4 linked regions of the Anolis sagrei genome follow. The protein of the gene in region 4 interacts with the protein of the main gene of each other region in a biochemical or structural test. Links are inferred from orthologs where the notes say so. Each region holds a gene or a part of one and is shown on either strand. Other genes may lie near its edges.

Evidence for each region.
Region 1: of the proteins of UBA1 (region 4) and UBE2A, one has a biochemical effect on the other in vitro, tested with the Homo sapiens proteins (6 studies listed by BioGRID, with this or other methods). The link is inferred for Anolis sagrei from reciprocal best matches to the Homo sapiens genes UBA1 and UBE2A.
Region 2: of the proteins of UBA1 (region 4) and UBE2B, one has a biochemical effect on the other in vitro, tested with the Homo sapiens proteins (10 studies listed by BioGRID, with this or other methods). The link is inferred for Anolis sagrei from reciprocal best matches to the Homo sapiens genes UBA1 and UBE2B.
Region 3: of the proteins of UBA1 (region 4) and CDC34, one has a biochemical effect on the other in vitro, tested with the Homo sapiens proteins (7 studies listed by BioGRID, with this or other methods). The link is inferred for Anolis sagrei from reciprocal best matches to the Homo sapiens genes UBA1 and CDC34.

The regions. Positions count from the first base shown.
Region 1 is NC_090030.1:3,051,145-3,058,934, reverse strand, and holds the start of UBE2A (ubiquitin-conjugating enzyme E2 A), read right to left. Parts: upstream 3,020-7,790; 5' UTR 2,829-3,019; coding exon 2,785-2,828; intron 1-2,784. UniProt on the Homo sapiens protein: E2 ubiquitin-conjugating enzyme that accepts ubiquitin from the ubiquitin-activating enzyme E1 and transfers it to a E3 ubiquitin-protein ligase. In vitro catalyzes 'Lys-11', as well as 'Lys-48'-linked polyubiquitination.
Region 2 is NC_090022.1:91,998,881-92,005,950, forward strand, and holds the start of UBE2B (ubiquitin-conjugating enzyme E2 B), read right to left. Parts: upstream 3,013-7,070; 5' UTR 2,659-3,012; coding exon 2,615-2,658; intron 1-2,614. UniProt on the Homo sapiens protein: E2 ubiquitin-conjugating enzyme that accepts ubiquitin from the ubiquitin-activating enzyme E1 and transfers it to a E3 ubiquitin-protein ligase. In vitro catalyzes 'Lys-11'-, as well as 'Lys-48'- and 'Lys-63'-linked polyubiquitination.
Region 3 is NC_090034.1:52,346,083-52,353,909, reverse strand, and holds the start of CDC34 (ubiquitin-conjugating enzyme E2 R1), read right to left. Parts: upstream 3,005-7,827; 5' UTR 2,792-3,004; coding exon 2,615-2,791; intron 1-2,614. UniProt on the Homo sapiens protein: E2 ubiquitin-conjugating enzyme that accepts ubiquitin from an E1 ubiquitin-activating protein, and catalyzes its covalent attachment to other proteins by an E3 ubiquitin-protein ligase complex. In vitro catalyzes 'Lys-48'-linked polyubiquitination.
Region 4 is NC_090022.1:193,378,016-193,384,994, forward strand, and holds the start of UBA1 (ubiquitin-like modifier-activating enzyme 1), read right to left. Parts: upstream 3,008-6,979; 5' UTR 2,876-3,007; intron 1-2,875. UniProt on the Homo sapiens protein: Catalyzes the first step in ubiquitin conjugation to mark cellular proteins for degradation through the ubiquitin-proteasome system.

The sequences.
Region 1 (7,790 bases), on a different chromosome or scaffold from region 4:
TAAGACTCAATAATAGTAGTAATGATAAGATAGTATTATAAAATAAGACTCTCATAATAATAACAACAGATTAATAATAATATAACAATAAGACGTTGAGAAATATAATAATAATGATATAATAATAATAATATAAGAAGACTCTGAGTGGCAAGGCCTAGCAAGGAGATATATAAGACTCAATAATAATAGAAATGATAAGATAGTATTATAAAATAAGACTCTCATAATAATAACTGATTATTAATAATATAACAATAAGAAAATGCTGAATAATATCATAATGATATAATAATAATAATAATAATAATAATAATATAAGAAGTCTCTGAGTGGCAAGGCCTAGCAAGGAGTTATATTATATAAGACTCAATAATAATAGTAATAAGTTAACATTATAAAATAAGACTCTAATAATAATAATAATAATATATTGATAATAATATAATATAATAATAAGAGGCTGAGTAATGTAATAATAATGATATAATAATAAGAAGATATTATAAAATAAAGACTCATAATAGATTAATAATAATATAATATAACAATAAGAAGAGGCTGAGTAATATAATAATAATGATATAATTATAATTATAATAATATAAGAAGACTCTGAGTGGCAAGGCCTTATATAAGACTCAAAAATAATAGCAATAAGATAATATTATAAAATAAGACTCTAATAATAATATATTGATAATAATATAATAATAAGAGACTGAGTAATATAATAATGATATAATAATAATAAGATAATATCATAAAATAAAGACTCATAATAATAATAGATTAATAATAAAATATAACAATAAGAAGACGCTGAGTAATATAATAATAATAATGATATAATAATATAAGAAGTCTCTTGAGTGGCAAGGCCTAGCAAGGAGATATATTATATAAGACTCAATAATAGTAGTAATGATAAGATAGTATTATAAAATAAGACTCTCATAATAATAACAACAGATTAATAATAATATAACAATAAGACGTTGAGAAATATAATAATAATGATATAATAATAATAATATAAGAAGACTCTGAGTGGCAAGGCCTAGCAAGGAGATATATAAGACTCAATAATAATAGAAATGATAAGATAGTATTATAAAATAAGACTCTCATAATAATAACTGATTATTAATAATATAACAATAAGAAAATGCTGAATAATATCATAATGATATAATAATAATAATAATAATAATAATAATAATATAAGAAGTCTCTGAGTGGCAAGGCCTAGCAAGGAGTTATATTATATAAGACTCAATAATAATAGTAATAAGTTAACATTATAAAATAAGACTCTAATAATAATAATAATAATATATTGATAATAATATAATATAATAATAAGAGGCTGAGTAATGTAATAATAATGATATAATAATAAGAAGATATTATAAAATAAAGACTCATAATAGATTAATAATAATATAATATAACAATAAGAAGAGGCTGAGTAATATAATAATAATGATATAATAACAATTATAATTATAACAATATAAGAAGACTCTGAGTGGCAAGGCCTTATATAAGACTCAATAATAATAGCAATAAGATATTATAAAATAAGACTCTAATAATAATATATTGATAATAATATAATATAATAATAAGAGGCTGAGTAATATAATAATGATATAATAATAAGATAATATCATAAAATAAAGACTCATAATAATAATAGATTAATAATAAAATATAACAATAAGAAGACGCTGAGTAATATAATAATAATAATGATATAATAATATAAGAAGTCTCTTGAGTGGCAAGGCCTAGCAAGGAGATATATTATATAAGACTCAATAATAATAGTAATGATAAGATAATATTATAAAATAAAGACTCATAATAATGATAGATTAATAATAATACAATATAACAATAAGAAGACACTGAGTAATATAATAATGATGATATAATAATGTAAGAAGTCTCTTATATTATAAGAGACTTCTAAATAATACTCTAATAATATAATAATAATAATAATAATAATAATATAAGAAGTCTCTGAGTGGCAAAGCCTAGCAAGGAGACATATTATATAAGACTCAATAATAATAGTAATAAGATAATATTATAAAATAAGACTCTAATAATAATAATAGATTGATAATATGTAACATAATAAGAGGCTGAGTAATATAATGATATAATAATAAGATGATATTATAAAATAAGACTCTAATAATAATAATAGATTAATAATAATATAATATAATATAATAAGAGGCTGAGTAATATAATAATTATGATATAGTAATAAGATAATATTATAAAATAAGACCCTAATAATAATAATAGATTGATAATAATATAACAATAAAAAGACGCTGAGTAATATAATAATAATGATATAATAATATAAGGCAAGGCCTAGCAAGGAGATATATTATATAAGTCTCAATAATAACAGTAATTATAAGATAATATTATAAAATAAAGATGATAATAATAATATAATATAACAATAAGAGGCTGAGTAATCTAATAATAATGAGATAATGATAATCATCTAAGAAGTCTCTGAGTGGCAAGGCCTAGCAAGGAAAGGCTACGCCAAGTGCGTAAGCCGCTGTGGTGCGGGGCTCCCCATTGGTTGCCGGGCGCGCGTTACGCCAAGAGCGCGGTGGCTACGCAGTTGGCGCAGCGCTCCCCCGCCCGGCCGCCATGTTGTCTCTCCTGAGGGCTCCTTCTTCTCCGTCTCGGCCCGACTCGCTCCCTTTCCCGGGCCCAATCCCCTCGCCGCCCGGCCGCGCTGACCGTTTGAAGTCCCGCATGAGGCGCCTCCGGGCGGGCGTGGACATGGCGGGCTCTCGGCCAGGCGTCGCTCGCACTCCGCTCGCTCGGCTCCTCGCCTCGACACTGGCGCTCCCGACGCGGCCGGCGCCCCTAATCCCGCAGTGGTCGCGCCCGCCGCGCCTGCTCCCTCCACGCCGGACCGCACCACTGCTCTCGCCAAACAGGGGGGCACGGAATGGGACAATAAACAGGCAAGGGGCGGGGCCAGGGGCCGGCGAATCACATCTCGGAAAGGACACAAAGGGGCGTGGCTTCCGCAGGCTTGGGAAGGCAGCGCTCGCAGCCGTGACGTCATCCGCTCTGGGCGATACCAAGGCGCGGGCGAATAAAGGGGGGGAAATGGGAAGGAACCATAATAGTCATGGCATAGAATGGCGCAGGGGAAGCTTCTCTTCTATAATAATAATAACAATAATAACTATTATAATAAATATAATAAATATAATATATAATATAATAGTACAGGGATGGCTTCTCTTCTAAAATAATATAATACACAGGGAAGAGGCGGGGCTAGCGGCCAGCGAATCACATCGCGGGAAGGACACAAAGGGGCGTGGCTTCCGCAGGCTTGGAAAGAGAGCTCTCAAAGCGCTGACGTCATCCTCTCTGAGCGATACCAACAAGCGGTGAATAAAGGGGGGGAAATAGGTGGAAGGAACCATAATAGCCATGGCATAGAATACTGCAGGGGGAGCTAATAATAATAAATAGAATAATAATAATAATAATAATAATAATAATAATAATAATAATGATAATTAATATGATAGTGCAGGGAAGCCTCTATTCTAAAATAATAATAATAATAATAATAATAAATATAAATATAAAAATATAATATAATTGTGCAGGGGAAACATAATAATAATACATATAATAATAGCAAATATATTAGTGCAGAGGAAGCTTCTCTTCTAAAATAAATATTATATATATATATATATATATATATTTGCTCGGGGGGGGGAACTCTTTTTCTATGATAATCAAAATATTGTGATAATAATATAGTGCAGGGGTAGCTTCTCTTCTAAAATAATAATGATAATGAATATGATAGTGCAGGGAAGCTTCTCTTCTGAAATAATAATAATAATAAGAAGAAGAAGAATATGATTGTGCAGGGAAGCTTCTCTTTTAAAATAATAATAATTATAATAAATATATAATAATAAATATATAAATTTATGGAACACTTTGAAGAACAAGCCCTGGAGATAGCAACCAAAAAGCCCACGATATGGTTCAGAGATGTGGATGACACCTTCACCATTTGGAGCCATGGAGAAGAAGAACTCAACAGGTTCCTGGAACATCTCAACAGCATCCACCCAAACATCCAGTTCACCATGGAAAAAGAAAATGAAGGAAGACTGCCTTTTCTAGATGTCCTCATCATCCGCAAACCAGATCCACAATTGGGTCACACCGTCTACAGAAAACCCACACACACAGATAGATATCTACATAAAAACTCCAACCATCACCCAAGTCAAAAAAGAAGCACCATTCAAGCTCTGGCAGACCGTGCAAAGAGAATCTGTGAACCCCACCTCCTCCAAGAGGAACTGAACCCCCTCAACTGGGCTCTCCAGGCCAATGGAGACTCCACCTCAGACATCAGAAGAGCTGCAAGACCACCGAGAAGAAGCCACGAGAGTCAAGACGAAGACCCACCCAGAGGAAAAGTGTTCTTGCCAGACATCAAGGGAACCACTGACCACATAGGGAAGCTGATGAGGAAACACAACATACAAACAATCTACAGACCCACCAAGAAAATCCAACCAATGCTCCGTTCAGCAAAGGACAAGAGGGATCCTCTCACCTCTGCAGGAGTCTACCGTATCCCATGCAGCTGTGGAGAAGTCTACATAGGGACCACCAAATGCAGCGTTGTCCAAACACGAATCAAGGAACATGAAAGGCACTGCAGACTACTCCAACCAGAGAAGTCAGCCATAGCAGAGCACCTGATGAACCAACCTGGACACAGCAGATTATTATTTGAGAACACAGAAATGCTGGACCACTCTCACAACCACCAGGTCAGACTACACAGAGAAGCCATTGAAATCCACAAGAAGCATGTGGACAATTTCAACAGAAAGGAAGAGACCATGAAAATGAACAAAATCTGGCTACCAGTATTAAAAAAACTCTAAAATCACAACAGCAAAACAACAGAGAGGAAACAACCAGGCACATCTTAACACCTCCCAGCAAGAGATTTTCCCAGGCTCAGGCAGGCCTTCAAATGCTAATGAAGGTGGTCAGTTGAAACATTCACACCTAGCTCCAGCAGGGAAGAGCTCCTTGCCCCACCCCAGCCATTGTCCTAATTCCAACAGACCTCACTACCTCTGAGGATGCTTGCCATAGATGCAGGCGAAACGTCAGGAGAAATGCCTCTAGAACATAGCCCTATAACCCGAAAAAACCTACAAGAACCTAAATATATAAATATAATATAATTGTGCAGGGGAAACTTCTCTTCTGAAACAATAATAATACATATAATAATAATAAATATAATAGTGCAGAGGAAGCGTCTCTTCTAAAATAAATATAAATAATAAATAATAATAAATATAGTTGCTCAGCGGGATCTTTTTTTCTATGATGATGATGATGATGATAATAATAATAATAATAATAATAATATTTATTTATAGTGTCAGGAGTGAACCAAATAATAATAATAATAATAATAATAATAATAATAATAAATATAATCAAAATATAATAATAATAATAATAATAATAATAATAATAATAATAAAGGTCAGGGGTAGCTTCTCTTCTAAAATAATAATCTATATAAATAAAAATGTAATGTTCGTTCGTGCTACCATCAGAACTCAAAAACCACTGAGGGAATTGACACCAAATTTGGACACAAGACACCTAACAACCCAGTGTATGTCCTGCACTCAAAAAAATTGATTTTGAGATTTCGGAATTGGTGGTGCTGGGATTTATAGTTTACCTACAATCAAAGAGCATTCTGAACTCCACCAATGATGGAATTGAACCAAACATGGCATACAGGACTTCCATGACCAACAGAACACATTGGAAGGGTTTGGTGGGCATTGACCTTGAGTTTGGGAGTTGTAGTTCACCTACATCCAGAGAGCACTGTGGACTCAAACAATGATGGATCTGGACCAAACCTGACACAAATATTCCATATGCCCAGATATGAACACAGATGGAGTTTGGAGGAAATAGACCTTGACGTTTGGGATTTGTAGTTACTGGGATTTATAGTTCACAACAATTAAAGACCATTCTGAAACCCACAAACGACAGAAATGGGGCAAACTTCCCACACAGAACCCCCATGACCAACGCAAAATACTTAAGGCCATCCAGTCCAACTCCCTTCACCAGGGCAAGAAAACGTAATCAGAGCCCTCCTGACAAAGAGCCATCCAACCATAGATAGATAGATATGATTCTCACACACACACACACAGATATAGTATCATAGATTTGAAAGGGACCCCTAAAGAAGGACTATGATATGTTGCATGTTCCAGAGTAGGCAAACCAGACAATCTCCACATCAACACTGACAAAGAAACAACAAGAAATACTGTTTACCCACAAGCAGAAAGACATTACATATATTAGAAACCAACACTTTCTCATTACTTTATTTTCCAGATCAACAGACTGGGCCACAGCAATGCATGGCAGGGGACAGCTAGTATAATAATAATTAGAGATCCCTTGCCACGCGTTGCTGTGTCCCAGTCTGGTGATATGGAAAATCAAGTAATTAGAAAGTGCTGGTTTCTAATCTATGAAATGTCTTTATGCTTGTGGGTAAATAGTATTTCTTGATGTTTGACAGTGTTGACGTAGAGATTGTCTGGTTTGCTTACTCTGGAACATGCAACATAGAATTGTCCTTCTTTAGGAGTCCCTTTCAAATCTATAATACTTTATCTGTGTGTGTGTGAATCATATATATCCATCTCTATCTATGGCTCAGTAGCTCTCTGTCAGGAGGGCTTTGCTGATGTTTTCTTGCCCTGGTGAAGGGAGTTGGACTGGGTGGCCTTGAGTATTTTCTGTTGGTTATGGTGGTTCTGTGTGGGAAGTTTGCCCCAGTTCTGTCATTCGTGGGGTTTATTCAGAATGGTCTCTGATTGTAGGTGAACTATAAATCCCAGTAACTACAACTCCCAAATGCCAAGGTCTATTTCCCCCAAACTCCACCAGTGTTCATATTTGGACATATGGAATATTTGTGCCAAGTTGGTCCAGATCCATCATTGTTGGAGTCCACAGTGCTCTCTGGATGTAAGTGAACTACAACTCCCAAACTCAAGGTCAATGCCCACTAAACCCTACTAGTGTTGGTCATGGGAGTTCTGTCTGCCAAGTTTGGTTCAATTCCATTGTTCAGAATGCTGTTTGATTGAAGGTGAACTATAAATCCCAGCAACTACAACTCCCAAAGGAAAAATCATAATTTTTTGAGTGATGGTCACTCCTTCCATTGTGAGACGTTTCGTTGCCAAATTTAGTGTGATTTCGTTCATTGGTTCTTTTGTTTTTAAGGTACTCATTATGCACAGAGCATTTATATATATATTATATATAGAAGAGATAGATAGATAGATGGATGGATGGATGGATGGATAGATAGATAGATAGATAGATAGATAGATAGATAGATAGATAGATAGATAGATAGATGTTGTTGTTGTTCATTCGTTCAGTCGTCTCCGACTCTTCATGACCTCATGGACCAGCCCACGCCAGAGCTCCCTGTTGGCTGTCACCATCCCCAGCTCCTTCAAGGTGAGTCCAGTCCCTTCAAGGATACCATTCTTCCGCCTTGCACTTGGATGGCCCCTCTTCCTTTTACCTTCCACTTTCCCCAGCATCATTGTCTTCTCTAGGCTTTGCTGTCTCCTCATGATGTGGCCAAAGGACTTCAGCTTTAT
Region 2 (7,070 bases), about 100 Mb from region 4:
ATGAAATAACTTGACCAAAATGTTCTTTCTCCTGTTAATTCAAGATGTTTGGAACAAATAATAGTACTTAAAAGAGTCATAGGGCATGTTTCAATTATCCCAGAGCTTTGACTTGAGAACTTTCTCCCTCTTTTTTTGGTCACTCTGCCAAATCCAGCTATCTAGAAAATAGTTTAGAACAGTGGTTCTGAACCTGTGGGTCCCCAGGTGTTTTATCTACAACTCCCAGAAATCCCAGCCAGTTTACCATCTGTTAGGATTTTTGGGAGTTCAAGGCCAAAGGTTATAACTGTAACTCCTGAGCTTTCTAGATATACTCAAATAGCTATTAAAAGCAGTTAGGTAATATTAATTCAGCATGGATAATAAATGTGATAGAATAACCAATACCCGAAATAAGCCCCAGGGCCCTTCCATACAGCCCTATATCCCAGAATATCAAGGCAGAAATTCCTACATTATCTGCTTTGAACTGAATTATCTAAGTCCACACTCAGAAAATGTGGGATATTCTACCTTGATATTCTGGGATATAGGGCTGTGTGGAAGGACCCTCAGTGTTCTCAAGAAAAAACCATGTTTGGGATTAGAATAATGCTGCATACTGTCACTGTGCTCTGTTAACAACACAACTCATACTGTTGTGTTGGCATAACCCCATTTAATGTACTGGGAGTGAGGCAAGCATCCGCTGCCCTATGCTGACTCAGCAGCCACTGCATGATCCCAATCTGAAATATTTGCCCATTCATAAAGGCAGTCTTGCCAATTCCAGCCTAAAACAAAGACTGGCATCCTGCAGCCGAACTTGCTGACTAGTCAGTTTAAATTACAAGGAGACAGTTACACCATTAATGTGGCGATCTAAATCTTTTTACGTGTCCAGGTTATAAATTGTGATTTTGGAGGAACTGTAACATGTTTCGCTGCGGAATCCATCTGCAGTGCCAGGAAAGTCCTTTTGGAGAGCTTGCTTTTCCTGGCAGCTTACTTGAGAAACAGAAAATGGCCATTATTTTTGCTAACTTCAGCATATCCTCTCCAGATGTCAGTGAGAACTAAGAAGCAGAGAAGGACAGGACTTCCAACTATAGGAAGCAGCCTAAAAGAAACATAGGACACAACTCTCCACATACAACAGGGAAAATCAACAGGCTTCCTTGTGAAGAGCACATTTTTCTACATGCCATGAAATGGCAGTTTCAGCATAACCAGTTTTCCCCCAACACTACAAGCTGGCTATACAGCAAAACTCCCTATTCTTTTCTCTGCCATCTTCCAAACCACTTTCTGAAGAGTTTCAATTTCCAAAATGTAACTATTATACTAATTCTGTATAAGCTTAAAGGGATATAATGCAGCAAGACTGAAATACACTGAAACTCTACTCTGGAGCACATATGTGGGGATTAAAAGATTCAGGATGAGAAGAAGAGGAGGCGGCAGCAGCAGTGACTGGACTGGAAGAAGTTTTATTTACAGCTCCGGGGTTGGCTCAGTGGGTAACCTGAGTCTCTTACAATAGCTCCTTTTATTTTTGAAGCACTGCATTGGCAAAATGCTCAGAGATCTGTTGACTGAGAGCATCGCAAGCGAAACTCTGGTAAACTGTACAGTCTGTATTCTGAGCAGATTAAAACCCCTTCCTTTATTATAGATGCAATTATTTCCATGAAGGGGACTGTACCTTTAATGTAACAACTTCAGCATGGGATGGCGAAGAGGGCAAGTGTTGCTTCCAGTCTCCCAAGACGGCAAAGGGTATTTATTAAAGGTTTGGCCTCGACTGAGGCAGGATGCCCCAACATGGTATAAACAAACCAGCTCCTTCCACCAGATCAGTATTTCTGCCAAGGCCAACCCACTCCATTTCCACTCAGTTTTGATCTAAAGCAGGTGTGGGCAAACTTGGGCCTTCCTCCAGGGGTTTTAGACTTCAACTCCCACAATTCCTAACAGTTGGTAGACTGTTAGGAATTGTGGGAGTTGAAGTCCAAAACAAATGGAGGAAGGCCCAAGTTTGCCCACACCTGTTCTAAAGGCATTCCTTGCCCAAGGCCCAGAGGGAGAAGCCAATGGTTTGAGCCATTGCCCCAAAAGTACAGACAATTCCTTCTCTTTCTTTATTTTTTTGGGGGGTGGGGGTGGGGGCATCCTTTACACCTTCTGTCTCTAGCTCAGGCATGGGCAAACTTGGGCCTTCCTCCAGGTGTTTTGGACTTCAACTCCCACAATTCCTAACAGCCTAGCGGCTGTTAGGAATTGTAGGAGTTGAAGTCCAAAACACCTGGAGGAAGGCCCAAGTTGGCCCATGCCTGCTCTAGCTGAACCCTTCTCCTTCTTCCAAATGTATCCTGATGCCTACTTCCATAACAGGAGAGGAAAAGGAAGGAAAGAGGGGAACTTCTCAATCTTTTTGCCCTCTCACCAGCTTGGGGGCAAAATCCAGACGGCCCCCTTCTTCCTAGACACGAAAGGAAAGAGGGGGGAGCAGGGGAGCCAGGACCCCCAGGGAGGCGCGGGCCCTTTAAGGAAAGGAGGGCCAGCCCCAGAACAGGCCCAAAGCAGAGGGGACGAAGGAAGGTGGGCAGGGGGAGAGCAGGGCCGCACTTGCCTCTTGAAGTCCCGCATGAGCCTCCGCCTGGCCGGAGTGGACATGGTCTCCCCTTTTCCCGGTGGTAAAATAATCCCCGCTCGGCCTCAAACAGCCTCGGCACCAAGGGCGGCTCACTCCTCGTCCGCTGCCGCCGCCTCCTCCTGCTCCGCTGCTTCACAAACAACTCCGCAATGGCGTCTCCCTCCGCCAGCGGGAGGGAGGGAGGGAGGGAGGAAGGCAGCCTCCCTTCGGGACCGTACCACTGCGCCTACTTGGAGGGGGGAGGGCAGGGAGCCTTAGGAACGTACCACTGCGGAAGCGGAGGGCAGGGCGGCGGAAGGCGCTTTCCCTCTCCTCCCAGGAACTTCGCTTCGACATTCCCATGCGTTCAGGGAAGGAGAGGCAGCGACATCATGTCTTTTCCCATAGAGTTGGAAGAGACCACAAGGGCCATCCGGTCCAACCCCCTCATTCCATTCCAATGTAACAACAACAACAACTCCTCCGCCCTGCTGGTGGAAAGAGTTGCTTTGGTTGGCCTTTGAAATCTTTATTACCCTTTAAGGCAGAGTTTCACACAATCCTTAAACAATTAAAAAAATGTCTTGTCTTACCATCATCTGAATGGGATGGGCAAAATCTAGATGGATTTCATGGCAGGTGTGTTGAATGATTTGCAGTACATCAGCAAATTATTATTATTATTATTATTATTATTATTATTATTATTATAAACACAAAAACAATGGCTTCAAACTACAAGAGAGGAGATTCCATCTGAACACGAGGAAGAACTTCCTGACCGTGAGAGCCGTTCAGCAGTAGAACTCTCTGCCCCGGAGTGTGGCGGCGGCTCCTTCTTTGGAAGCTTTTAAACAGAGGCTGGATGGCCATCTGTCATAGAATCAAAGCGTTGGAAGAGACCTCAGGGCCATCCAGTCCAACCCCCTACCAAGAAACAGGAATATTGCATTCAAATCACCCCTGACAGATGGCCATCCAGCCTCTGTTTAAAAGCTTCCAAAGAAGGAGCCTCCACCACACTCCGGGGCAGAGGGTTCCACTGCTGAACGGCTCTCACAGTCAGGAAGTTCTTCCTCATGTTCAGATGGAATTTCCTCTCTTGTAGTTTGAAGCCATTGTTTCGCATCCTAGTCTCCAGGGAAGCGGAAAACAAGCTTTCTCCCTCCTCCCTGTGGCTTCCTCTCACATATATATACATGGCTATCATATCTCCTCTCAGCCTTCTCAGTCAGGGGTGATTTGAATGCAATATTCCTGCTTCTTGGCAGGGGGTTGGACTGGACGGCCCATGAGGTCTCTTCCAACTCTTTGAGTCTATGATTCTATAGTACACACCAAACAAGGTCACTCTGCTGGCTACTGTATTGGATCACACGTCAGACACTTCCCAAGTGTCTAGGACTGTGTGATGTGTCTGCAAATAATGCATGCAGATCCAAGTAGGGTGGTCTTCTGCAGCTGACTGATGGTGATTTTGTCAGTGCCTATTGCTTTTAAGTCGAGGCCATGGTCTTTAAGCACTGCACTCAGTATGCTGATCGATTATTATTATTATTATTATTATTATTATTATTAGAAACACAACAAGATGAGTCCACAGCAAGCAAGATCACTCTGCTGGCTGTTGTAATCGATCACATGGACACTTCCCAAAGTGTCTAGGACTGTGTGATGTATCGGCAAATAATGCATGCAGATCCTAGTACGGTGGCCTTTTGCAGCTGAAAGATTGTGATTTTGTCAGTGCCTATTGTGTTTAAGTGGAGACCAAGGTCTTTAGGCACTGTACCCAGTGAGCCAATCACCACTGGGACCATCTTTACTGGTTTGTGCCAGAGTCTTTGCAGTTTGATCTTTAAATCCTCGTATTGTATCAGCTTTTTTAGTTGTTTCTCTTCAATCCTGCTGTCACCTGGGATTGCAAGCTCTAGAATCCATACTTTGTTTTTTAACACGATCGTGAGGTCAGGCATATTGTGCTCCAAAACTCTGTCAGTCTGAGTTCGGAAGTCCCAAAGTAGCTTGACGTGTTCATTTTCTGTGCTGGTCATAGTGTAAACTACCAGTAGGTTCAACCAAGCCAGAGTGGGCTCAACTGAGAAGTAGAACTAAGTGCATCCAACCCATTTAAATATGGTAAAACAAACTCTAAAGAAATTTAGACTGGCTTGGTCGCTGCCCAGGATAATAAGGGCCGCGGCGAGTGCTTCTCCTGGGCACCCGTTGACAAGTGGGCTACAGAAACCAGGACCTGCTGAGCAACCAGGGCATGGGCCTGTAGTTGGAAGCAAAACAACCACAGAAGTACTATTATTGTTATTATTATTATTATTATTATTATTATTATTATTATTTTGGTACTCTGATTCAGACAGCAAAATGTCTTTGGCCAGGCCTCAGAAAGTTCAGCATGAATCTGCATCCTGTTGCAAGTAACTTGATGTTATAAGCAAGGTCTTCGAATCAATTTAAAGGTGCAATCGTTTTATTCTTATCTGCCTTTTGTTCAAAACTAGATCTAATGATAATTTACATACAAAAAGAAGTACAAGTACATCAGTCAATTATATTTCAATAGATTTTTTTAGTGCCAGAACAATTAACTGTATACATCATCATAATAAAATACAATTCCAAAACTGATGGTGTTTATGTAATAGACCACATGTTTAAATTGGGAACACTTTACTTTAAATATATATTTGCAAACAAGCCAAGACTAATATTAAAGATCAGAAAATTGCATTGGATAGACCATATCAGCTCTAATTTCTGATATAGAACATATGCCATGGTCAAAGACAGGGAAGGAATGTGAAAGGAGCAGAAATAAAATAAATAATAAATAAATGAAGAGGAAGAAGGCATGCAAACCAGATTTTTGACCTTGCGGCCCACTGGTGGTCCACAGCCCACAAGTTAAGAACCACTGGTCTATATCAAGGAAAGAAATGGTGCCTCTCTATTCTGCTCTGGTCAGATTCAGCTGGGATACTGTGCCCAATTCTGGGCACCACAATTCAAGAGGGATATTGACAATCTGGAACATGTCCAGAAGAGGGTGACTAAAATTATCAAAAATGTGGAGACCATGCCCTATAAGGAGCAACTTAAAGAGCTGGGCATGTTTAGCCTGCAGAGGAGAAAGTTGAAAAAAGACATGATCGCCATGTATAAATATGTGAAAGGATGTCATAAGGAAGAGAGAACAGGCTTATTTTCTTCTGCCCTGGAGACTAGGACTCGGAGCAATGAGTTCAAATTACAGGAAAGGAGATTCCACCTGAACATTAGGAAGAACTTCCTGACCAACAGTTGAACTCCCAGTCTTGGAGTGTGGTGGAAGCTTTTAAATAGAGGCTGGATGGCTATCTGTTGGGGTGCTCTGATTGTGCTTTTTCTGTATTATGGAGGTTGTATTAGATGGCCCATGTAATCTCTTCCAATTCGATGATTCTACTATAATGTTTTCCAAATTTTTGTGTGTCAGAAGTGACTGAAAATCGCTTCTGGTGTGAGAGAATTGGCCATCTGTGGGAGGCTTCTCATATGTCCCCGCATGGGAAACTGGAGCTGACAGATGAGAGCTCACTCCATCTCACAGATTTGAACCGTTAACCTTCAGGTCAGCAATTCAGCTAGCGCAAGGGTTTAACCTATTGTGCCACCATAGCTCCTTATCTTTTCCAGTGAGTCATATTGTCTCATGATGCATCCAAAATAAAACAACCACAGCTTGGTAATTTTAGTTGTCAGTGAAAGTTTAGGTTTGATTTGTTCTAGGGCTTTTTTAAACGATTTCCCTAGACCTTTTCTCCAGGACTGTATTTAAAATGAATTCACCATATTATCTTCCTTTGCTATCTAACTTTCTGAATCATACATAGAAACTGAAAATACTATGGTTTGAGTGATATATACTGATGGGATCATGAGCTGTCAGCAACTGACTCAGAAAAGGATCTTCCCTTATGGTACAAAGTTCAACAAAATCAGACTGTGGCTGCTATAAAAAAGCTAAAGTCCACATTGGCCATAATTAAAAGGGAAACTGGAAATAAAATTGTCAGTATAATACTGTACATTTGGCTCTCCATATCCATGGATTCAACTATCCATGGCTAGAAAATATTAAAAATTAATTCCAAAAGACAAAATCTTGGTTTTACCATTTATATAAGGAATGCTTTTCTACTATAACATTGTGTATAATGGAACTTGCACATCCATGGATTTTGGTATCAATGTGTGTGTGTCCTGGAACCAACTCTGAGGGCTATTGTAGGAGAAGGAGAGGAGGCAGAGGAGGAGGTTGTGGTGGAGGAAGAATTTTTGTTACCCGCCTCTCCTCTCAAGGTGGGATCCAACACAGTGAAAACACCTCAACATAGAATACATACACCAAAACACATGGTACAAAATACAGTGGTAATAGAACGTGAATCCAAAA
Region 3 (7,827 bases), on a different chromosome or scaffold from region 4:
GAGGCAACAGGAAGTGAGAGAAATCTACTTACCAGAAGGGAAATTTACTCCTGGAAGAGTTATTATCGGGAGGAAAGGGGTCTCCACTGAAGCTTTATCCTCGATCCTTGTTTCCACAACAAGCCAAATTTCCCAAACTCCCATTCTCACAGGGACAGAAAGTGAGGTGAAATCTTCCGAACAGGGGCACAGAAGGTAACACAAACACCACAGGGGTGTTCACCCTCCTCTATGTGATCCTAAGCTAAATATACATATAGATATGCATATACGTGTGCATATATATATAAATTTGGCTGAAGTTACATTTAGAAAATGTACTTGTTTCGACTTACAAACAAATAGACAGTAACACAAACACCACGGGGGGGTTCATCCTCCTCTATGCGATCCTATACACAGACACACACACACACATATAGATTTATTTATTTATTGCTGGAGTTACACTTAGAAAATGTACTCGTTCCAACTTACAAACAAATTCAACTTAAGGACAAACCTACAGAACGTATCCTGTTTGTAACTTGAGGACTACCTGCAGACAGTATTACTTTGGCAGGACCCACTGTGCTTTCATGTTATTATTGCACACTGGGTGGGAAGATATAAATAGATAATGGTAACAACAACCATAACAATAATGTAACAACAACAATGCCATTTCAGGAGCCTTCCTCTAGGTTAGGAGGTCAGGCCAATGTCTGCCCAAGGCGTGCACTCAGGACCCGCCTTGCAAGTTGGGCTACCAAGGTATATAGGGTCAGGTGAGTCACTGGGACCTGTTTTCCTACCTCCAGAAGTGAAGTTGCGACTGAGAACCTCCCCAGCGGCGTTTTTTTTGCCCCGTCATCAGGTCGTCCAGCCGGTCGGACTTCCTGGCCGCTCAGATCAACCCCAGGGCAAATGGCATCAGTTTGGAAGGGACACCCATCCCACTACTGCAGGCACAGTCAAACTTCAGCCCTCCAGCTGTTAGTAATTGTGGGAGTTGAAGTCTAATACACCTGGAGGGCTGAAGTTGGCCCATGCCTGCTCTAGTGGCTCAAAGCATTCTCTAGTTATACAATGAATATATCACTGAGATTCAACCAATTCAACATACGTTGTGGCAGCCACGGAAACAAAGTTTCTGGAGTAGAACAACTCTTTACAAAGTAAGGACCACACAATTAAACAGGAAATCACACATTCAAACCAGAACAGATCCATACCTGCTCCTGCCCCCTCCCCAAATGTTTTGTTATATAGTATAACAACAGCCAATGTAGCATCTGGACAAACGAACTAGGCCAACAAAGGAGAAATACTTGCCTAACGACCAGCAAATTTGGGACTTACTAATTCACTAGTTATGATAATTAGTATTTGTTTATTGCGGGAAATTGTAGAATGTTATTTGAAGCAGATGTGAGATTATACAACCACATTTAAAGGGAATTGATTAAAAGTCAGCAGGCAGTGAGTAAGAGGTCAGGCGAGAGTCTGTTGTTTTGGTGCTTTGTTTTAATGTTTATGTTTGTTACTCATAATAGGCCCATCGCAATAGGATTGATTAGAATTATAAAGACCCAAAACTCATCATTGGTGTAAACATGCTTTTGTCTTGTCTTTATGAAAATGAGATGGGAGGGGTGGGTTAGGAATTAGTACAGTGGTTCTCAATCTGTGGGTCTTTAGATGTTTTGGTCTTCAACTCCCAGAAATCCTATCAGCTGGTAAACTGGCTGAGATTTTTGGGAGTTGTAGGCCAAAACACTTGGGGACCCACTGAATTAGTATAATATGATTCAAAGCAGAAGTGGGGTTATACAATAGCATCTAAAGGGGACTAGACTAAAAAGAGAGATAAAAATAAACAGTGATGGAGAGGTTTGCCTATGGGACTTGAATTCGAACCATCGACTTTTCGGTCAGCAGTCCTGCCGGCACAAGGGTTTAACCCACTGCGCAACCAGGGGATCCTATATATATATATATATATATATATATATATGAATATAATAAGAATATAAATAAATATATTAAATATATTAAATATATATTTAATAATATTTTAGCTTTGAATATAATAAGAATATAAATTAAATAGAAATAAAGCAAGGTGTGTTTAATTTACCTTAGAATAAAATATATATATACATATATATACATATATATATATATAATTATATATATATAAACGAATATAAATATAATAGAAATATATTAAAGAAAGATGTGTAATTTACCTTTGAATAAATATTCCTATGTAATATAACAATAACAAAAATTCCTATGTAATAGAATAATTAATATTCCTATGCAATATAATAATTTGTTACATATAAATAAAGGTGTGTAATTTTATATATATATATTTATATATAATAAAATATATTCCTATGTAATATAATATTCCTTAATAATATTATACTAATATCCCTATGTAATATAATAATAAACGTTCCTATGTAATATAATAACAATAAATATTCCAGTGTAATATAATATTCCTTAATAATAATAATAATAATAATAATAAATATTCTTATGTAATATAATGGTAATAAATAATATTCCCTGATCATCATCATCATCATCCACTCCAGCCCTGGGTGCGAGGCCTGCTTGCCTTGAAGTAGCCTCCCTGGTAGTGGGTGTTGGGGGGTCCGAAGATGGCCACCTCCCAGTTGTAGAGGTCGCCTTCGTCCACCAGGCTGACGCGGAAGCCCTCCACGGGCTCCTCCTGAAGGCCCTTCAGCTCCAGGAGCAGCGCTTTCGCCGAGCTGGGCACCGCCGGACGTGCCATGCTCCAAAGCAGGCCGCGAACGAAGCCGGGGACTCGCGTGACGGGGGCGGCCCGGCTGCGGAGACGAGAGCGCGGCAGTAGGTGCTGGGGAAGGAACAGCACCGCCGGAGGAGGCTGAGGGGAAGAACAAGGCTGAGAGAGAGCGAGCGAGCAACCAGCCAGCCAGCCAACCAGCCGCCGCCGCGAGCGGGGTTGCCTGGGATGCGTAGTCCCGAGGGCGGGGGAAAGGGGAGGAGCCAGCCGAGGCCTCCGCCAATAGGAGGCGGGACCGTAGGAGGGGGCGGGGACTCTAGAAGGAGCCGAAGACTACACCTCCCAGAAAGAAAGCCTGCGGCAGGAAGCCGGAAGTGGAGGAGGAAAAACAAAGAGGCAGAAGGAAACAAACCCACAGAAGAAGTTTCCTAGGCGTGTGTGCCCGCTTCGTAAAATAGACCAAAATTGTGCCTTTCCAGAATTAGGAATCTCCAATACCAAGTCCCAGAAGCACTTTAATAGAACTAAGATTGCTGCACACTGCACTTACCCTATAATCCTACATACCTCCTGTCACATCAGCACTTTTAATCTTTTCCGAGCCCAATTCAAGGTGCAGGTGCTCACCTACAAAGCCCTAAACGGTTTGGGACCACCCTACCTGCGTGACCACATCTCCATCTACGAACCCACACGCTCGCTCCGATCATCTGGGGAGGCCCTGCTCGTGATCCCACCCACGTCGCAAGCGCGCTTGGTGGGGACACGGGACAGGGCCTTCTCTGTGGCGGCCCCCCGACTTTGGAACGCCCTTCCAAAAGATCTCCGACAGGCCCCTACTCTAGCTGTTTTCAGAAGGAATTTAAAAACTTGGCTGTTCCGTTGTGCCTTCTCAGACTAGGAATCCCCACCCCAAGTCCTAGTAGCACCTTAGCATAACTAATCGTCACTGCACACCGCACTTTTAATCCTACGTACCTCCTGCCATTTCAGCACTTTTAACCCTTGTACCCCATTGCGCCGGCCGAACCAGTTTTAATAATGTCTTGATGTACTGCCATTGTCGTTATTTTTGCTTATTGTTTTGATTTGCTTTGTTATTTTTGTGTTATGTTTTCTATTGTATTGTGTTTTGAGGCTTCGGCCTGTGTAAGCCGCATCGAGTCCTTCGGGAGATGCTAGCGGGGTACAAATAAAGTTAATAATAATAATAATAATAATACCCATTACTCTGGCCCGGCCCAGTTTTATAGTGTCTTGATGTATTGTTTATTGCTTGTTGTTAATATTGCTTTAACTGTTTTTAATTTGCTTTAGGTGTTGTATTGTTGTGTTGTGTTTTGAGGCCTTGGCCTATGTAAGCCGCATCGAGTCCTTCGGGAGATGCTAGCAGGGTACAAATAAAGTTAATAATAGGTTCTTGTGGGGTTTTTTGGGATATATGGCCATGTTCTAGAGGCATTTCTCCTGACGTTTCGCCTGCATCTATGGCAAGCATCCTCAGAGGTAGTGAGGTCTGTTGGAAATAGGACAATGGGTTTATATATCTGTGGAACGGCTGGGGTGGGGCAAGGAGCTCTTCCCTGCTAGAGCTAGGTGTGAATGTTTCAGCTGATCACCTTCATTAGCATTTGAAGGCCTGCCTGAGCCTGGGAAAACCTTTTGTTGAGAGGTGTTAAGATGTGCCTGGTTGTTTCCACCCAGAGGAAAAGTGTTCCTGCCATACATCAAGGGAACCACTGACCGCATAGGGAAGCTGATGAGGAAACACAACATACAAACAATCTACAAACCCACCAAGAAAATCCAACAAATGCTACGTTCAGCAAAGGACAAGAGGGATCCTCTCACCTCTGCAGGAGTCTACCGTATACCATGCAGCTGTGGACAAGTCTACATAGGGACCACCAAACGCAGCAGTATTGCCCAAACACGAATCAAGGAACATGAAAGGCACTGCAGACTACTTCAACCAGAGAAGTCAGCCATAGCAGAGCACCTGATGAACCAGCCTGGACACAGCATATTATTTGAGAACACAGAAATGCTGGACCACACCAACAATGTCTCTGTGTCAGACTACACAGAGAAGCCATTGAAATACACAAGAATGTGGACAATTTCAACAGAAAGGAAGAGACCAGGAAAATGAACAAAATCTGGCTACCAGTATTAAAAAACTCTAAAATTACAACAGCAAAACAGCAGAGAGGAAACAACCAGGCACATCTTAACACCTCTCAACAAAAGGTTTTCCCAGGCTCAGGCAGGCCTTCAAATGCTAATGAAGGTGATCAGCTGAAACATTCACACCTAGCTCTAGCAGGGAAGAGCTCCTTGCCCCACCCCAGCCGTTCCACGATATATAAACCCATTGTCCTATTTCCAACAGACCTCACTACCTCTGAGGATGCTTGCCATAGATGCAGGCGAAACGTCAGGAGAGAATGCCTCTAGAACATGGCCATATAGCCCACAAAAACCCACAAGAACCTAGTGATTCCAGCCATGAAAGCCTTCGACAATACAAAGTTAATAATAATAATAATAATAATAATAATAATAATATTACGAGCCATCCCGTGCCACACGTTGCTGTGGCCCAGTCTGGTGATCTGGAAAATAAAGTAATGAGAATGTGTCGGTTTCTAATTTATTATTTATTTATTTATTATTTGAACTTATATGCCGCCACTCCCCTGGGACTCGGAGCGGCTCACAAGAATGGCTAAAATCTAACAAAATTTAAAAGCAATTTAAAAATAGCAATATCAAACATTAAAAGCCTGTCGAAACAGGTATGTCTTATATGCCCTGCGGAAAGCTGGTAAGTCCCGCAAGGCACGGACTTCAGGTGGCAAAGTATTCCAGAGTGATGGTGCCACTGCTGTGAAGGCTCTGCGTCTGGTTGCTATTAGACGAAAGGTCTTGACACTGGGGACTTCCAATAGATCTTGGTCCTCAGAACGGAGGGATCTCTGGGGTTGGTAGGGGGTGAGGCGGTCCCTCAGATACATCGGCCCCAAACCATGCAAGGCCTTAAAGGTGAGTACCATCACTTTGAAAGTGATCCGGTGCTCAATTGGTAACCAATGCAGCTGTAGTAAGATTGGTGTTATGTGGCATCTCATCGGAATTCCCGCAAGAAGCCGAGCAGCTGCATTTTGTACCAACTTGAGCTTCCGGATCACCGACAGAGGAAGGCCAATGTAGAGGGCGTTACAGTAGTCCAGTCTTGAGATGACCGTGGCCTGGATCACCGTAGCTAGGTCGTCCCTGGACAGGTAGGGGGCCAGCCGTCTAGCCTGCCGCAGATGAAAGAAGGCGGTTCTGCTAACGGCGGATACCTGGGCCTCCATCGTCAGCAGAGGGTCCAAAAGGACTCCTAGAGTCTTTACCAATGATGACGGGCGTAGCGCCCTGCCATCCAGGGTAGGCAACTGGATGTCCCCATTGCCCAGTCAACCCAGCCATAGGATCTCCGTCTTTGCTGGATTCACCCCTAATATATATGTAATGTCTTTATGCTTGTGAGTAAACTACTTCTTGTTGTTTTTTTGTCAGTGTTGATGTGGAGATTGCCTGGTTTGCCTACTCTGGAACATGTAACATATCATTGTCCTTCTTTAAGGGTCCCTTTCAAATCTATGGTATTATGTCTGTCATATACATATATGTGTGTGAATCATGTATATCTATATCTATGGCTGTATAGCTCTCTGTCAGGAGGGCTTTGATTATGTTTTCTTGTCCTGGTGAGGGGAGGTGGACTGGATGGCATTAAGGCAGCATTTCACAACCTGGGAGTTAGCACCCCGGGGGGAGGGGGTTGTGAGGAGGTGTCAGAAGTGTTGCCAAAGACCACCAGAAAATACAGTATTTTCTGTTGGTTGTGGGGGTTCTGTATGGGAGGTTTGGCCCAATTCTATCGTTGGTGGGGTTCGGAATGTTCTTTTATTGTAGGTGAACTATAAATCCCAGCAACTAGAACTCTCAAATGTCAAGGTCTATTTCCCCCAAACTCCAAATATTCATATTTGGGCATATGGAATATTCGTGCCAAGTTTGGTCCAAATCTATCATTGTTTGAGTCCACAGTGCTCTCTGGATGTGGGTGAACTACAACTCCCAAATTCAAGGTCAGTGTCCACCAAACCCTTCTAGTGTTTTCTGTTGGTCATGGGAGTCCTGTATGCCACATTTGGTTCAATTCCATCATTGGTGGAGTTCAGAATGCTCTTTGATTGTAGGTGAACTATAAATCCCAGCAACTACAACTCCCAAATGACAAAATCAATTGTTTGAGTGAAAGACATACATTGGGTTGTTAGGTATATGCTGTCCAAATTTAGTGTTAATTTCTTCCAGTGCTTTTTGAGTTCTGTTAATCCCACAAACAAACATTATTATATAGATTGTGTATGTATATATACACACATATACATACGAGCACACATGTATGCTCTCTGGAGGCAGGTGCTTCGCAAAATAGACCATACATTTTAAATATACTGGTGTATCTATATACACACACACATAGTATATATATATATATATAAACACACACACCTCTACATATGAACACACACACACATATATATATATATATGAATATACACAAGGCAATATATATATATACATACATACATATGTGCATCTATATGATTTATTTTTTGTGTCAGGAGCAACTTGAGAAACTGCAAGTCGCTTCTGGCGTGAGAGAATTGGCCATCTGCAAGGACGCTGACCGGGGACACCCGTTTTTTTTTTATGTTTTACCATCCTGTGGGAGAGTTATTTCATGTCCCTGCATGAGTAGCTGGAGCTGGCAGAGGGAGCTCAACCCACACTCCCCGGATTTGAACTGCTGACCTGTCGGTTAGCAATCCTGCCGGCACAAGGGTTTAATCCATTGTGCCACCGGGCGCTCCATCTATATATGATCATATATGAACATACATACATATATATCCTTGTGTGTGTTCATATATATGTTCATATGATTATATATATACATTTATCTTCATATATATATGAGTAGATACATATGTTCATGTATTTAT
Region 4 (6,979 bases):
TTAGAAAACATTACAATTACTACTATAAACCATCCTATCTGCAAGAACAGTCCAGGCTGTTCCAATAGTCACTGCACATAATTCCATCTATTGCACTGTATTATTCACCAAAGGCTTGATCCTAAAGCCATGTTTTCACTCTTTTTCAGACTATGTCATAAACTCTGTATCGACATGATAGTAATATTGAAATACAGCCATGAAAATGAAACAGAGAGAAATAAAAAACCAAATGAACTTAAACAGACATTCCTACTAAAAACTGATTTTCTGGTTGCTTGAGAGTTTCAGTTAACAGAGTCTACTTCCCCTATCAGGTCCAAAGGAATGGCGTGGAATTCCTTACCTAGAATAATCAGCACTCCAAACATAACACACATATGTATTGTTGAAGGCTTTCATGGCCGAAATCACTGGGTTGTTGTGAGTTTTCCAGGCTGTATTGACCATGGGCCCTTCCACACAGCCCTGTATCCCAGAATATCAAGGAAATCCTACAATATCTGCTTTGAACTGGGTTATCTGAGTCCACACTCAGATAATGTGGGATCTTCTGCCTTGATATCCTGTGTGGAAGGACCCCCAGTTTCAGAAGCATTCTCTCCTGAAGTTTCGCCTGCATCTATGACGGGCATCCTCAGAGGTTGTGAGTTCTGTTGGAAACTAGGAAAATTGGGTTTATATCTGTAGAAAGTCCAGGGTGGGAGAAAGAACTCTTGCCTATTGGAGCTAGGTGTGAACATTTCAATTGACCAGCTTGATTAGTATTTAATGGATAAATGAACAAAATCTGCCTACTAGTATTTAAAAAAAAAACTCTTAAAATCATAGCAGTAAATAAAGAACAACACTAAAAAAGGGGGAATTCCTGACAAGAAACAATCAGGGCCAGCTAATCACCTTCTAAGACAGAATTACCCCAGGTAGTAAGAAGCCAGACCTTGAAACTGCAAGGCCATTCAATGCTAATCAAGGTGGCCAAGAGCAAACCACAGACCACCTACTGCAATGTAACCTGAGCCATGAGAAGCCTCCCACAAGGATGATAAAAACAACAAATCATCCGGGCGTCCCCTGGGCAACATCCTTGCAGACGGCCAATTCTCTCACACCAGAAGCGACTTGCAGTTTCTCAAGTCACTCCTGACACGACCAAAAAAATACAAACCTGAGCCCTGCCACATGCACAATGGAGGACCTTCTTGCAGCAACACCAGAGGCTACCCAAGTGGCCAGCTACTGGTCAAAGGACATTTAATAGAATACAAAGTCTGCAAACTTTGCGTTTTGTTTGTTTGTTTGTGTTTAATGCAATACAACTGTTTTGGTTCGCTCCAAACACGATAAATAAATGAAAGTGGACCATTGAAACCTGGACACTGACCTCAAGCAGACAAGAGTTGATTCTTCCACTCTGGACCTTCCACCGATATATAATAATAATAATTTATTTATCTGACCAGCCATATGACTATTTCAAAATACAACACGAATAAAAGACAGATATATAAACCTCTAGGACAGTGGTTCTCAGTCTGTGGGTCCCCAGATGTTTTGGCCTTCAACTCCCAGAAATCCTTACAGCTGGTAAACTGGCTGGGATTTCTGGCAGTTGTAGGCCAAAACACCTGGGGACCCACAAGTTGAGAAACACTGCTCTAGGAGCCCCCGGTGGGTAGGAGCCACCGGTGGTGCAGTGGGTTAAAGCACCGAGCTGCTGAGCTTGTTGACTGAAAGGTTGCAGGTTCAAATTCGGGGAGTGGCATGCGCTTCCGCTGTCAGCCCCAGCTCCTGCCAACCTAGCAGTTTGAAAACATGCAAATGTGAGTAGATCAATAGGTACCACTCTGGTGGGAAGGTAACGACGCTTCATGCAGTCATGCTGGCCACATGACCTTGGAAGTGTCTATGGACAACGCCGGCTCTTCGGCTTAGAAATGGAAATGAGCACCACACTCCAGAGTCGGACACAACTGGACTTCACGTCAGGGGAAAACCTTTACTTTTTACCAATATAAACCTCACTTGCCTAGTTTCCAACAGACCTCACAACCTCTGAGGATGCCTGCCGTGGATGTGGGTGAAACGTCAGGAGAGAATGCTTCTGGAACATGACCATACAGCCTGGAAAACTCACAGCAACCCAACAATGCACAGACCTCACAACCTCTGAGGATGCCTGATGTGGGTGAAACGTCAGGAGAGAATGCTTCTGGAACATGGCCATACAGCCTGGAAAACTCACAGCAACCCAACAATGCACAGACCTCACAACCTCTGAGGATGCCTGCTGTGGATGTGGGAGAAACGTCAGGAGAGAATGCTTCTGGAACATGGCCATACAGCCTGGAAAACTCACAGCAACCCAACAATGCACAGATCTCACCACCTCTGAGGATGCCTGCTGTGGATGTGGGCGAAACGTCAGGAGAGAATGCTTCTGGAACATGGCCATACAGCCCGGAAAACTCACAGCAACCCAACAATGCACATAGTGTGTGCATGCAGATAGATGCTCCTAAAATCAAGTCCTTTGGGGAATTCCAAAATCAAATATGGATTTCCCAAAATTAAATTAATTAAATATGCAAAAATTAAATATGCAAAATATGTCCCTTGTTCCACCCACTCGAGAAAGTGGGGTGGGGGGTGGGGAAAGGAACCCACACAATCCATCAATGAATGCATCTTTGTGGGTGCTCCTCTCCCATGACCCCCTACACCCCCATTCCCAAAATGCCCTTCCCCCTCCCCCTCCCCAGCCCCGCCCCTTCTTTCCAGGCAGGGAGGGGGCTGCTCCCTCTGCGCTCCCTCCCCCTCCCTTCCTCATCACCCCCTCCCATTCAGAGCAGCACCCCCTCCGGGTCTCTCTCACCCCCCCTCTGTGAGCCGCCTGCGTTCCAACTGGGGGTCCTTCTCCCGCTTCTCTGCCTGCCTGCCTCTCCTGTTGGGCTGCTTCTGCGGGCCCCGGCCGCCGCCTGCTGCTGCTGCTGCTGCGAGGAGAGGGTCGGGCGCAACCATTCCCCCACAGAGGGGTGTCCGCTCTTCTTGGGCTCCCCCTTGCAGCGCCGCGCTCTGCCTCCCCGCTAGAGAAAACCCTTCCCGTGCACTTGAGGACCACGCCGGCCCCTTTTGACCCCCACCATCCTTTGTCGGGAAGAGGTCCCCGGGAAGCAGAACGGGACGACTCAGAATACGACCTCCCCCCTTCGTCGAGCGGGAATGGTACGGCTCGGCTACCTGGGAAATGTAGTCGGCGGGCGGCTGGACCTGGAAGGGAGCACGTGGCTTCTGATGCGTGGGGAAGAGGCAGAGGCGTAAACACGTGGCTGGAGGCACACGCAGGGGGCGCCGATCGGGCCCAAAGCGGGTCTGGGAGCCCCCTTCAGGTTGGGGGTGCATTGATAAAAAACTCACATTATCTGCTTTGAACCGGGTTATAGGACAGTGTGGACTCGGATAACCCAGTTCAAAGCCGATATTGTGGGATTTTCTGCCTTGATATTCTGGGTTATATGGCTGTAGGGAAGGGCCCTGAAGTCCCATCTATACTGCCATATAAAATCCCACATTATCTGCTTTGAACCGGGTTATATGACAGTGTGGACTCGGATAACCCTGTTCAAAGCCGATATTGTGGGATTTTCTGCCTTGATATTAAGGGTTATATAGCAGTGGAGAAGGGTCCTGAAGTCCCATCTATACTGCCATGTAAAATCCCACATCTGCTTTGAACCGGGTTATATGACAGTGTGGACTCAGATAACCCAGTTCAAAGCCAATACTGTAGATTATCTGCCTTGATATTCTGGGTTATATGGCTGTGTGGAAGGGCCCTGAGGTCTCCTCTACCCTGCTATATAAAATCCACATTATTTGCTTTGAACCGGGTTATATGACAGTGTGGACTCAGATAACCCAGTTCAAAACAGATATTGTGGGATTTTCTGCCTTTATATTCTGGGATATATCTGCCTTGATATTCAGGATTAGCTGTGTGGGAGGGCCCTGAGGTCCCATCTACATTGCAATATATTATCTGCTTTGGGTTATAGGGCTGTGGGGAAGGGTCCTGAAGTCTTATCTACACTTCCGTATAAAATCCCACATTATCTGCTTTGAACCAGGTTATATGACAATGTGGACTGGGATAACCCAGGTCAAAGCCGATATTGTGGATCATCTGCCTTGATATTCAGGGTTAGATAGCTGTGTGGAAGGGCCCTGAGGTCCCATCTACATTGCCATATATTATCTGCTTTGAACTGGATTATATGAGTCTCGACTGCCATATCCAGTTCAAAGCAGACAATCTGGATTTTATGTGGCAGTGTAGATGAGGCCTAAAGGTGCATCTACATTAGAATTGATGCTGTTTTGCCCCATTTTAACTCCTGCCACTCAATGCTGTGGATTTATGGGAGTTGTAGTTTGGGAGGCACCAACATTCTTTGGCAGAGAAAACCGAAGGCTATATCTGCCAGTGTCTTGAGTCTATAACTTTCAGCCATGACAGTTTAAATGGGGACAAATTTACTTAATTCGACAGGATGCGTCTTTAATCTAAGAAAGTACGCTACCAGTTTATTTCCCTGTTAGGGTTCATCTACGTTGTAAAATGAATGCAGTTTGACACCACTTTAAGAGCCAGGGACCAGTGCTATGGCATAATAGGAACTATAGTTTTACAAGGTCTGATGCATTTTCTGTCAAGGAGTGCTGGTGCCTCACCAGACTATAAATCCCAGGATCCCATAGTATTGAGCCATGGCAGTTAAAGTGGCCCTAAATTGCATTCCAGTTCAGACATATCCTTAGACTAAATATCATTATTATTATTAATTATGCATTGTCTCCATGCTGCGCAGTCCTGGGAGTCATAGTTTTCCAAGGTCGATACCCTTCTCTTGGTGCATCTACACTGTGAAATTAATGCAGTTGGACCTTACTTTAAATGCCATGTCTCCATGACTTGCTCTTGGGAATTGCAGTTTCCCAAGGTCCATGAACCTTCTCTGGATGCATCTACACCAATGGTTCTCAACCTGTGGGTCCCAGAAACCCTAACAGCTGATAAACTGGCTGGGATTTCTGAGAGTTGTAGGCCAAAACACCTGGGGACCCACAGGTTGAGAACCACTGATCTACACCATGAAATGAATGCAGCTGGACCTTACTTTAAATACCATAGCTCTATATTATGCAGTCCTGGGAGTTATAGTTTTCCAAGGTCAACCCTTCTCTTGGTGCATCTACACTGTTGAATGAATGCAGTTGAATCTTATTTTCAATTCCATAGCTCCATATTATGCAGTCCTGAGAGTTATAGTTTTCCAAGGTCAGTGCCCTTCTCTTGGTGCATATACACTTTGAAATGAATGCAGTTGGATCTTACTTTCAATACCATAGCTCCATATTATGCAGTCCTGGCAGTTATAGTTTTCCAAGGTCTACACCCTTCTCTGTGGGGCAGCTGAGAGGACATTGCCACATTCCCCCCCCCCCCTGCTTCCGAAATTGAAGACACGTAACAGCTGACATTTCAAAGAGAGGAGGGATGGTGAGCAGTGCCTAGTGATTACAGTGTGATGGCAAATCTACTGAAAAAATGCTGAGTACAACTGAGTAACACGGATACATTTTACAGTGTGATGAAAGTAGGGAAATCATCAGTTTCATTTCAAAACTGAGTCAGACTGAGCTCTTCCAAACACTTCCTTGCTTCAGTGTGATGAAGTCCACAGTTTTTATTATTGCCAGTGCTGATGAGTCCCTCTGAACATTCGCAGCAAGTTATACTTCCATTAATTAGCCAACATTCTTCAGATCCAACTTCAAAGTACTTTGAAATCCCCAAGAGCCTAAACAGCTTGGATGAACAAGTGCCAGCCATTCAGATTTGCTGGTGAAATGTGGAGCTGGAGAACCTATCTGCTGACCCAGTTGGCATCAACAATTGCATTTTGGCTTCTTGGTAAGATTTTGTCCTATTGAAGCATACGATTTCTGTGTGTTCACTGTACTCTGTCCCCAAATCCTCTGCTTTTTGGCAAAGAGCACATTTTTATCACAAAATCAACCAATTAAACTATCAAAAACCTTTAAAAGTGCCATGCTAGAGAAGATCAAAGGGTCATCTTGGTCAACAGTGGCTAACCAAAGCCTCCCATGGGACGTCTGCCAGCTATTATAGCAAACGTACATAAATGTGTTATCTGGAGGGCAGCCCTGTACAGTAGAAGCACTCAGTTCATTTGGTCCTGACTGTTTGCTTCAGGCAAATTCAGGTTTCAGAGAGAGAGAAACATATTGGCATAAGGAATCAGCAAGAATTACTTTGAGTTGCGAATCAATATTACGGTAATCACTTTTCATTAAAGGATTAATGAAATCTACGCCCTACACCACTGGAGAAATTACATTGTTTAGCCAGTATTGCACCACCTGACATCCGCCAGGAAGTAGCAAGCAATAGTGAAAGGACCAAGGCAGTGACATCTCCAGCTCTTCCCCTGTTTGGGTATCAGCCAGCACATTAACCACTTAAATCAAGAAATAGTTTTCTGAGATCTACAGACACACTCGCTGGAACACCCCAGCAAGCGAGAGTCCAAAAGTGGCAGGCTCAAACCCAGAATCTCAATCAATGGCTGATACCAAATGAGAGACTCCCCCCTGGGCACACAGAAAACTGGGCGACTTGGAAGGCGCTGAACAAACTGCACTCTGGCACCACGAGATGAACAAGAATGATGAGTCGGCTTTGTTATCAGAAATCTTATTTGTCTTATTTATTGTTTTTGTTGTAGTTCAGCCTGTAATTTTGTTTCAGGATCAGGGTGCTTTGGATGTGGGGAATGATGTAAATGAGGTTCTGTCCTGGGCCCGGTCCTGTTCAACATCTTTATTAATGACTTAGATGAAGGGTTAGAAGGCAGGATCATCAAGTTTGCAGATGACACCAAATTGGGAAGGATAG